Macaca mulatta: one gene and its partners. The protein of the gene in region 2 binds, or shares a complex with, the protein of the main gene of each other region. Links are inferred from orthologs where the notes say so. Each region holds a gene or a part of one and is shown on either strand. Other genes may lie near its edges. The genes, in order: GAR1, NHP2 and TERT.

Region 1 (4,263 bases), on a different chromosome or scaffold from region 2:
ATACACAGCAAAAGACAAGCAAAGGTTTCACACTAAATAGGTAATTTTCATTTTTTGTTTCAAAAATAATACACTTACACGTATATAGGCCCATAAAAAGATCAACATTCGTTAAAATCAAATTGCATCATTTACTAAACTAAAAGAAAAAGAAAAAGTAAAGTTTCTTCTCTCACTTATTTTGTTTGTTTGTTTTGAGACCAAGTCTTGCTCTGTCGTCTGGGCTGGAGTGCAGTGGCGTGATCTCGGCTCACTGCAACCTCCGCCTCCCCGGTTCAAGCGATTCTCTTGCCTCAGCCTCCCGAGTAGCTGCGATTACAGGTGTGCGCCACCATGCCCGGCTAATTTTTGTATTTTTAGTAGAGAAGGGGTTTCACCGTATTGGCCAGGCTGGTCTCGAACTCCTGACCTCAAGTGATCCATCCGCCTCGGCCTCCCAAAGTGCTGGGATTACAGGCGTGAGCCACCGCACCCCGCCTACAAAGGTATTTTAAAATCCCCCTTACAATAACCCTCTCAGTTAGATAGGTACCAAGTTCCACCCTCTTCTAAACACGATGTCAATATCAAGGTAAGGTCTCAGAGGGTTTGGTTGTAAAAGGCTCCAGCCAAATTTAATAAATGGGAAGTGACTACCTTTATTTGTGAGAGAAGCTTTGGAGAATGTGGAGGAAGCAGATGTCAAATATAAGGGGCTTAAGACGAGAAGGAGAGGAGCCTCCAGCACAGTCCGCTTCACATCCTGTCGGTGCTCAAAACATACTTGAATGAATACCCGGTACAAAAGATAAAAATGATGGTTTGGTTTTCTATAAGACACCATAGTTTCTTTAAAATTACACAAACACATGCATTGCTTTTTTCCCTCTAATTAGTGAGACCATAGCGCAAAAGAACAAGCACAGCTGAGCGCTCAGTGGTGCGAAAATCAAAAGGTCGGGAAGAAACAAGAAACTCAGACAAACGCTTCCGCCGGCTGTGACAGGTTCTGAGGCGACCAGATCCACTGGACATAGCGCGGCTCAGATACCTCAGAGACCTGTCCACACAGTTGCTGAAGTTAGCAACAAACTATTGAGCGCTGTTGGGCACCATTTAGTCTGAGAAGCAAATGCGCCCAGCCAGTCGGCACGGACTTCAAAAACTAACCTTGTTTCTTGCAAGGTGCTGGCAGTTGTTCTGGCAGTCAGGGCGGGAACCAAACAGAAACCCACCCCGCCTCTGGAAGAGAAGGCGGATCCCTAACGCCAGCTATCTCCAAGAGCAACATTGCCGCAGCACTTCCGGGACGTCGTGCTGCGAAGGACGCAGCTATTATACGTCACTTCCACGGCGCGGCGTTAGGCAAGTTGACCTCTCTGTTGTAAATTAGTGGTTAAGGTTAGATATTATTGCCACTTTTCCAAAGCTAAAGGCTGTTTTGGAACCAGTGTCGCTGGTTCCGCGCGTGACTACCTTTTTTTTGCAAACCAGTTATTCCAGTTTCTGGTCTAAAAAACTCTGTGGCTGTACGGTAGCCGAGGAGGTTCCAGCGCGGCGGAAGTACCCAGTAGGTGGGTGTGCGCGTAAGGCCAGGGCCAGAGGGGCACGTGGCGCCGGTGAGTGACCGTAGAAGCCGGAGGATTTGAAAATGGTGGACGCGGAACCCAGCTGCCGGAGGGAGGGAGGAAGGAAGGGGATGCAGTGCGAAGACCTTGCTGTCTGAAGGGGGAGGAGGTACTAATCCTGGGGCGGCAAGGCTGGTATGTTTGGTCGGTCGGCGCTCAGGAGACCATGAGGAAGTAAACTCTTCACCCATCAGGTTGGTGGTCACTGGCTGTCTGACCGTGGGTGAGGTGACAGGGCTGCTTTTGTCCCCTTTATGGTGTTCTCACCGCGGCTCCGAGGGGTTGGAGTGTACTCAGATGCTACAGTGATCAGAAGACACGGGTCGTTTTTTTTTTTTTCACCAGGGAGGAGAGAGAATGTCTTTTCGAGGCGGAGGTCGTGGAGGCTTTAATCGAGGTGGTGGAGGTGGCGGCTTCAACCGAGGCGGCAGCAGCAACCACTTCCGAGGTGGAAGCGGCGGTGGAGGCGGCGGCAATTTCAGAGGCGGCGGCAGGGGAGGATTTGGACGAGGGGGTGGCCGCGGAGGCTTTAACAAAGGCCAAGACCAAGGACCTCCAGAACGTGTAGTGTGTATGCAGTCTTCAATATTTAGCCTATTTGAAGGAATAGGGGTGGGTTGTGGGTTTGTGTTATTAGTCCAGCAAGTTTGGGATACACAAGCCTGTGTGGAGAATGATGTAAACTGACATAATCGTACAGTAGCATGTAAGGGTGGGGTGGGGAGATCAAGAAAGCTGAGGGATACTTAAAATGCATCATGGAAGTGGAACTTCAGGGTTGACAGGAAGATATTAAATAGGTAATAGTGAGTACTTATCCCTAATTCCCCGATTTTACAGATGAGAAAACTATGATTTAGAGTTAAGTTTTTATAGCTGAAATATAAGTATAGCTGAAATACAGGCTGGGTGCCGTGGCTCACGCTTGTAATCCCAACACTTGGGAAGCTGAGACAGGAGGATCACTTGAATCCGGGAGTTAGACACCAGCCTGGACAATAAAGCAAGGACCCTGTCTGTACAGAAAAAGAAATACAAAGCCAAGTATTCTGACTCCAAAGCCCATGCTTTCCATTACTACTTAAAAGTAGATAAGTGAGAAAACAATTTGCTTGAGAGGGAAACTGCCAAAGAGGAAGTCGAGAAAAAGACCCATTTAGGATAGTTTTATAGTAATTAATAATGAGATGGGAATGGAAGTCACAGAGAGTGAAACTTACTACATTAAAGAGGAGAGAGGGTGAAGAGTGTCTAAGAATGGTTGGATGAGTATGCAGGATGGTTTGAAAGGAGCAGTTTCTAGAATAAAAGGTCCCAGCCTGCAAGCTGTTGTACCAGTCCATACACGAGGCATTGAGAGCCTGATTCAGGATGGTGAGGAAAAAAAGGAAGGGTTAGATAGGAGAGAGATTTCAAAGGAAACAAAATCGGTAGAACTTAGCTAATGCTGATAATAAAGGGTTCCAGGTTTTGCGCTTGGGTGATAGGAATGAAGAGTTGGTTTTGCAGGAATGTGTTAATTATTTTAGTTTAGGGGGACAGTCTAGTTAGTTAGAACTAAAGGTAGTTATTTTGAGATTCCAAATGTCCTTGAAAACAATGAATCATTGTTAAAGAGGTGGTAGTGGGAATAGGAAAGTTCTGAGGCAAGAGAAAAAAAAAAGAACAAAGGGTAATTCTTTTAGGGGTTGAAGAAAAGGGAGTGAAGAAAAGGAATAACCAAGAGAATGAAGCAGAGTTTTGAATCAGATAATAAATTTTAATAAGATAACTGTTACATGTGGAATGGTCTCAATGTGCCAGGCACTGTTTTAAGCACTTGAAATTGGTTATTCCATTGAGTCCTTACATTACTGTATATTAGGTATAGCTGTACATTATATGTTACTAGTGTCTACTAAAGAGGAAACACTGAATTAGAGAAAGGGTGGGTAACTTCTCCTAGGTTACATAGCTAGTGTGTTGTGGAGTTGGTATACCAGCCCAGGAAGTCCACACTCTTAATGACTGTGGTCTTCTGCCTCAGAGGAGAGCAGGTATGGTGAAGTCCCAGGTAGCCAGGAAGAAAGCTTCCAGAAGAAGTTGGTCAGTATCGTTTGAAATAGTTCTGTGTTTTAATATTTTCTTGTCCTATTTCAGTATTAGGAGAGTTCCTGCATCCCTGTGAAGATGACATAGTTTGTAAATGTACCACAGATGAAAATAAGGTGCCTTATTTCAATGCTCCTGTTTACTTAGAAAACAAAGAACAAATTGGAAAAGTGGATGAAATATTTGGACAACTTAGAGATTTTGTATCCTTTTTCATTGGAAGACCTAATAATATTCAAAGGTTGCTATTTGTATTTTTGTGAGGAGGCGGTTAAGTGTAAATTAGACTTGTTGCTTCATTAAATTAGACAGGATTGCTACAGATTGGACCATGAAGGAGAATCAAGGGGAGAATGTATTCATCCATAGATATTAAAATGACAGACCCTAGAAAGGTGACTGTTTTTGGAAAATTCTAGAAATGGCCATTTGGATAAGTACTACAAGATTAAGTTGGCTGATTTGGATGTAGTGGTGCCACTGGAAATGTAGAATTAGAAGCTGTTTGGTGCCCCCACTACCCTGGAAACTCCTTCCTTGCTTTCTCTCTTTCTTTCTCTTTCTC
Region 2 (2,280 bases):
TTTATTTCAGGGTGCCTGAACTTGGTTGCTGTGTATAGAGTCCTATGAGTTTACTCCAGGGTGCCTGAACTTGGTTGCTGTGTATAGAGTCCTGTGAGTTTACTCCAGGGTGCCTGAACTTGGTTGCTGTGTATACTGAGTCCTGTGCAGGGCCTCTGACAGCAGTAAGAGGCCCCAAGTCTAAAATGTTTGAAGGGATTGGGTTACTAAGGCCATTATGTTAAGCAAGAGAGATAGCCTGGGGGGATGCATTTTAGCTTCATATTCCTATTTAAAATTTGCTGTGTGGGTGGATAAATCGCTTCCATAAGCTTCACAGTGGCATTTAAGGCTCCTGGGGGAAAGTTAAGAATGGGGGTGTTCCTGATGTGGGGGCTTTAGGCTTCCATGAAGTGGGTCTGGGCCCCCTGCCTTACCTCACAGCCCCCATCTACCCTGGAGGAGGGAGTTGAAAGCGCTGGGGTAGCAGCAGGATCAGTTCTCAGCTTGAGCCAAAGCATCTGGCCGGGGCAGCTGAGCATTAGCACAGAACCCTTTGAGTCCTTCGGGCTCTCTGGCGAGGAAAACCGCTTCACTCTTCCCGCCCACCAACTCGGCCCAACCAGCAGCTGCTGCTTAAGAAAACACCCACAGACTCACCACATTTTAGTCTTAGCATTTACTTTCCCCACCCCACTTTCTTGGAACAGCCTTTAGTTCTACAGGAAATGGCACTGATGGACAGAAGACTGGCATTACCTTCATGAAAGGGCTGTTAGAGCTGCCTGGGAAGAAGGCGAGCCTCGGGGAACTGGGAAGATGCAGTCAGTGTGTGTGGGCAGGAGGACAGCCAGTCATCCCGCCGCCAGCCCAGCAGCTCCCAGCGGCAGGTGCCCAGGTGCTCCCGGAGCCCCTCATAGGGGTAGGGGCAGGGACTGCACCTCCTCCAGACACTCGTCGTAGGCCTCCTGGTACTCCTCGTGGGGCTTGACCATTATCACACAGGTGGGGCGCTTGGAGCCTGCGGCTGCACCCAGGTCCTACAGAGAAGAAAGAAGTGCTGTTTGGAAAAAAGGCTGTGCAACCTGTATGCCAGGAAGTCACCAACTGATGACCCACCAGCCTAATCTGTCCCACAACCATGTTCTCTTCGGTCCATGTTCTATTTGAAAGCATCTTGAATTGGTTGCCATCATTTAAACTCAATCAGACTTTCAAGGCATGGTCTAGCCACACACAGCCTACATTCCCACATGACAGCTATGAAAGGGCTCCAGTCCAGCAGGGGCCGTCCCGGTCCCTGCCATCCCTCACTTCCTGTGCCTCAGATCTGGCCCCTGCTATGTAAGATAAGGACAGCTAGAGGTCCCCCTGAGCCTAAACCCACCTAACAGGACTAACATGGGTGAAGCATCTTAGCTTACAAAGCTTACTCACATACATCTGTCTCTTTTTATTCTCATAGTCCACAGAGAACTGACTTCGGTTCTTACTCTTAGGCCAAATGGTAAGTTCCTTCAGAACAGGGCCTCTCCCTGCTTTATCCCAACAAGTGATACTGTGGCTACCCAAGATCCACCCTCCAGCCTTTTTTTTTTTTTTCCCCAGACAGGGCCTCACTCTATCATGCAGTCTGGAGTGTGGTGGTGTATGATCATGGCTCACTGCAGCCTCGAACTCCTGGGCTCAAGTGATCCTCCCACTTTAGCCTCCCAAGTGGCTGGGACTACAGGCATGTGCCACTACACCCAGCTAATTAAAAAAATTTTTTTTTTGTAGAGATGGAGTCTCACTGTGTTGCGCAGGTTATTCCTGAACTACTGTCCTCAACTGATCCTCCTGTCTTGGCCTCCCAAAGCACTAGGATTACAGGTGTGAGCCACAGCGCCTGGGCTAGGATTCCCATTTTATAAGATGGGAACTGAAATGCAAGAGGTAACTCATCTGTAGTCACAAAACTAAGAAGACATGGAGCCGAGAATCCATCCAGGCCTGTCTTAGCTCCAACACTCCTGGCTCTGTCCTATACTCTTCTGCTACGGCAGACGATCCCAGACACCCCAGTGCTGAGCAAGGTCAGGGGGCCATGTGCTCCTTACCGTCTTTGAGGGGATATAGACATAGGGCAGATTTCGGTCCTCACACATGACTGGGAGATGGCAGTATACCTCAATGGGCAGTGTGTCTCCTGCCAAAACCATGATCCTGAAATGAGAGGAAACAGTCATTTCTGGCTTTGCTCCCTCCTTTCAGTTGTAAGTGCCGCCCTGGGCTGGGTCTTAGGGAGAGAGAGAAAACTCT
Region 3 (3,650 bases), about 180 Mb from region 2:
TCCTGCCAAGTGTGTGTGGATCCTGTCGTTGCCTCCTGGTCACTGGGCATTTGCTTTTATTTCCCTTTGCTTAGTGTTACCCCCTGATCTTTTCATTGTCATTGTTTGCTTTTGTTTTTTGAGACAGAGTCTCACTCTGTCACCCAGGCTGGAGTGCAATGGCGCAACCTCGGCTCACTGCAACCTCTGCCTCCTGGGTTCAAGCAGTTCTCATTCCTCAACCTCATGAGTAGCTGGGATTACAGGTGCCCGCCACCACACCTGGCTAATTTTTGTATTTTTAGTAGAGATGAGGTTTCACCATGTTGGCCAGGCTTGTCTCAAACTCCTGACTCAAGTGATCTGCCTGCCTCGGCCTCCCACAGTGCTGGGATTACAGGCGTGAGCCACCGCGCCCGGCCTACCCTGATCTTTTAAAATGAAGTCTGAAACATTGCTACCCTTGTCCTGAGCAGTAAGAGCCTTAAGTATATTTTAACTCTGGTCACCACCCCCAGCCTATGTGCTATTTTCCCTGCTGACTTAGTTCTATCTTGGGTATCTTGACACACCCACAAGGTAACCATTATTAATATTGTTTTCCGTGTTCGGTGTTTCTTTAGCTTTGTCCCTGCCCTGCTTTTCCTCCTCTGTTCCCTGTCTGTCTTTTGTCTCAGGCCTGCCTTCTGGGGTCCCCTTCCTTGTCCTTTGCCTGGTTCTTCTGTCTTGTTATTGCTGGTAAACCCCAGCTTTACCTGCACTGTGGCCTCCATGGCTTCTAGTGACGTCCGGGGACCTCTGCTTATGCACAGATGAAGATGTGGAGACTCACGAGAAGGGCGGTCATCTTGGCCCGTGAGTGTCTGGAGCACCACGTGGCCGGCGTTCCTTAGCCAGTGGGTGACAGCAGCGTCCGCTCGGCCTGGGTTCAGCCTGGAAAACCCCAGGCACGTTGGGATCTGGGCTCCGTGGTGACGAGTTTGAAATCACACAAACCTACGGTCTGGTGCCAGCCCCGATGTGCTGCCTGGCGGGGAAGTGTCTGCCTCCTCCCTTCTGCTTAGGGACCAGGACAAAGGATGAGGCTCCGAGCCATTGTCATCCAACAGGAGCATGACATGAGCCACGTGGATCATTTTTAAATGTCTAGGCTGGGCGCGGTGGCTCACGCCTGTAATCCCAGCACTTTGGAAGGCCCAGGCGGATGGATCACAAGGTCAGGAGATCGAGACCAACCTGGCCAACATGGTGAAACCCCATCTCTACTAAAAACACAAAAATTAGCCGGGCATGGTGGTGGGTGCCTGTAATCCCAGCCACCTGGGAGGCTGAGGTAGGAGAATCGCTTGAACCAGGGAGTTGGAAGTTGCAGTGAGCTGACATTGCGCCACTGCACTCCAGCCTGGCAACAGAGGGAGACTGTCTCAAAAAAAAAAAAAAAATAGAGAAAAAGAAAAAAAAATTCTAGCAGCCACATTAAAAAAGTAAAAAAGAAAAGGTGAAATTAACGTAATAATAATTTTACTGAAGCCCAGCACGTCCACAGCTCATCATTTAGGGTGTCATTGGTGGGAGCGTCACTCACAGGACATGTGACATTTTTTGTGCTTGATCTGCGGGATCCCGTGTGTGGGTCCCGTGTGCGGCCATCTCAGCCTGGACCTGCTGGGCTCCCCGTGGCCATGGCTGTCGTACCAGATGGTGCAGGTCTGCGATGAGGTCGCCAGCCCTGCGGTGAGCTGGATGTGCGGTGTCCTTCTCGTTTCAGGGGTGGGCTGTGTGCCGGCCGCGGAGCACCGCCTGCGGGAGGAGATCCTGGCCAAGTTCCTGCACTGGCTGATGAGTGTGTATGTGGTCGAGCTGCTCAGGTCTTTTTTTTATGTCACGGAGACCACGTTTCAGAAGAACAGGCTCTTTTTCTACCGGAAGAGTGTCTGGAGCAAGTTGCAAAGCATTGGAATCAGGTAGTGTACCCCCACGCTGGTCCCCTGCTTCTCGAAGTCCTGCAGCACCAGCCCCGGCCTCAGCGTGCGCCTGTCGTCCCGGCGCCGGTGCTTCCCTGGCTGTGCGGCTCTGGGCTGGGAGCCAGGGCCCCCATCACAGGCCTGGCCCGAGTGGATTCTGTGCTGGGCTCTGATTGCCCGGAGCTCACTTTCTGTTACTTGTGAAATCAGGAGTTTATGCCAAGTGGTCTCTGGGGTCTGTAAAGCAGAAGCGGTTTATATTGGATGGAAACACTACCACCAGCCTCCTTGCCCCTCCTCGGGATGTGGATCCGATTCTCTCTTTCTCTTTTTTTTTTTTTTTTTGTTTTTTGAGATGGAGACTTGCTCTGTTGCCCAGGCTAGAGTGCAGTGCCATAATCTTCACTCACTGCAACTTCCACCTCCCGGGTTTAAGCGATTCTCCAGCCTCAGCCTCCTAAGTAGCTGGGATTACAGGCACCTGCCACCACGCCTGGCTAATTTTTGTATTTTTAATAGAGATGGGCTTTTGCCATGTTGGCCAGGCTGGTCTCGAACTCCTGACCTCAGGTGATCCACCCACCTTGGCCTCCCAGAATGCTTGGTTTATAGGCTGAGCCACTGTGCCTGGCCCCCGATTGTCTTTTAATTCATGCTGGTCTGCATGAATCTTTAATCTGCTGGATTTAGGTCACGAGAGGATAAAATCCCACCCTCTTGGTGACTCACTGTGGGGAGCACCTGTGTGGGGAGCACCCGGGGTAGGAGATGTCCATCATGAGCTAACTTCTAGGTGGCTGCGTTTGAATGGCTGCGAGATTTTGTCTGCAGTGTTCAGCTGATAAGAGTGTGAGGGATTGTGGCAGATTCAAGCTGGATTTGCGTCAGTGAGGGACTGGAGTGCTGGGCTGGGAGACATCAGCCTGGCTGAGCCCAGGCCATGATATTAGCTTCTCTGTGTCCCACCCAGGCTGACTGGAGGGCTCGGTGAGGACTCTTTAGTCACAAGGTCAGGGCTTCCCCGGCTCCTCTGCACACTCGAGTCCCTGGGGGGCTTCTCACACCCCATGCCCCAAATCAGGATGTCTGCAGAGGAAGCTGGCAGCAGACCTCATCAGAGGTAACACGGCCTCTGGGCTGGGGACCCCGACGTGGGGCTGGGGCCGTTTCCTCCTGTATCTGGGGGAGAGTCAGGGCTTTCCTTGTGGGAACGAGTTAATACACAATGTGCCCTACTTAGACATTGCACATAGTGAATGGTGTGTGACCCAACGTGGTCATTTGACCAGTGTTTTGGGAAGAATTTAATTGGGGTGACAGGAAGGAGCAGACAGACGTGGTGGTCCCCAAGTCGCTCCTTGTCACGGCTGGAGCTGATGTTCTGCCTGAGGGGCCTCGGAGGCCCCTCCTCCCTGGACAGGGTACTGTGCCTCTCCTGTGCTCGGCTGGGCCTGCGGCCTGGGGTCAGGGCACCAGCCCCGGAGCACCCTCGGGCCCAGCGACCATAGAGCACTAGGCCGTCATCCGCAGATGCCCAGGTCCAGGTGTGGCCACTCCAGCCCCCCACTCCCCCATGGGTGGTTTTGGGAGAAAACACCAAAGGGCAGAGGTGTCAGGGAGCTGGTGGGCTCACGGGAGCTGGTTCTGCTCCTTGGCTGAGCTGCCCTGAGCAGCCTCCCCTGCCCTCTCCATTGGAAGGGATGCGGC

What was found.
Region 1: NHP2 (region 2) and GAR1 share a complex: the UniProt entries of both Homo sapiens proteins name them as parts of the H/ACA small nucleolar ribonucleoprotein (H/ACA snoRNP) complex. The link is inferred for Macaca mulatta from reciprocal best matches to the Homo sapiens genes NHP2 and GAR1.
Region 3: NHP2 (region 2) and TERT share a complex: the UniProt entries of both Homo sapiens proteins name them as parts of the telomerase holoenzyme complex. The link is inferred for Macaca mulatta from reciprocal best matches to the Homo sapiens genes NHP2 and TERT.

What each region holds. Positions count from the first base shown.
Region 1 is NC_133410.1:119,117,323-119,121,585, forward strand, and holds the start of GAR1 (H/ACA ribonucleoprotein complex subunit 1), read left to right. Parts: upstream 1-1,323; 5' UTR 1,324-1,553; exon of another isoform or gene 1,554-1,598; intron 1,599-1,608; exon of another isoform or gene 1,609-1,801; intron 1,802-1,952; 5' UTR 1,953-1,964; coding exon 1,965-2,178; intron 2,179-3,746; coding exon 3,747-3,901; intron 3,902-4,263. UniProt on the Homo sapiens protein: Required for ribosome biogenesis and telomere maintenance. Part of the H/ACA small nucleolar ribonucleoprotein (H/ACA snoRNP) complex, which catalyzes pseudouridylation of rRNA.
Region 2 is NC_133411.1:186,966,683-186,968,962, forward strand, and holds the end of NHP2 (H/ACA ribonucleoprotein complex subunit 2), read right to left. Parts: intron 2,185-2,280; coding exon 2,079-2,184; intron 1,758-2,078; exon of another isoform or gene 1,588-1,757; intron 1,487-1,587; exon of another isoform or gene 1,020-1,486; coding exon 894-1,019; 3' UTR 644-893; downstream 1-643. UniProt on the Homo sapiens protein: Required for ribosome biogenesis and telomere maintenance. Part of the H/ACA small nucleolar ribonucleoprotein (H/ACA snoRNP) complex, which catalyzes pseudouridylation of rRNA.
Region 3 is NC_133411.1:2,405,896-2,409,545, reverse strand, and holds part of TERT (telomerase reverse transcriptase), read left to right. Parts: intron 1-1,747; coding exon 1,748-1,943; intron 1,944-3,650. UniProt on the Homo sapiens protein: Telomerase is a ribonucleoprotein enzyme essential for the replication of chromosome termini in most eukaryotes. Active in progenitor and cancer cells. Inactive, or very low activity, in normal somatic cells.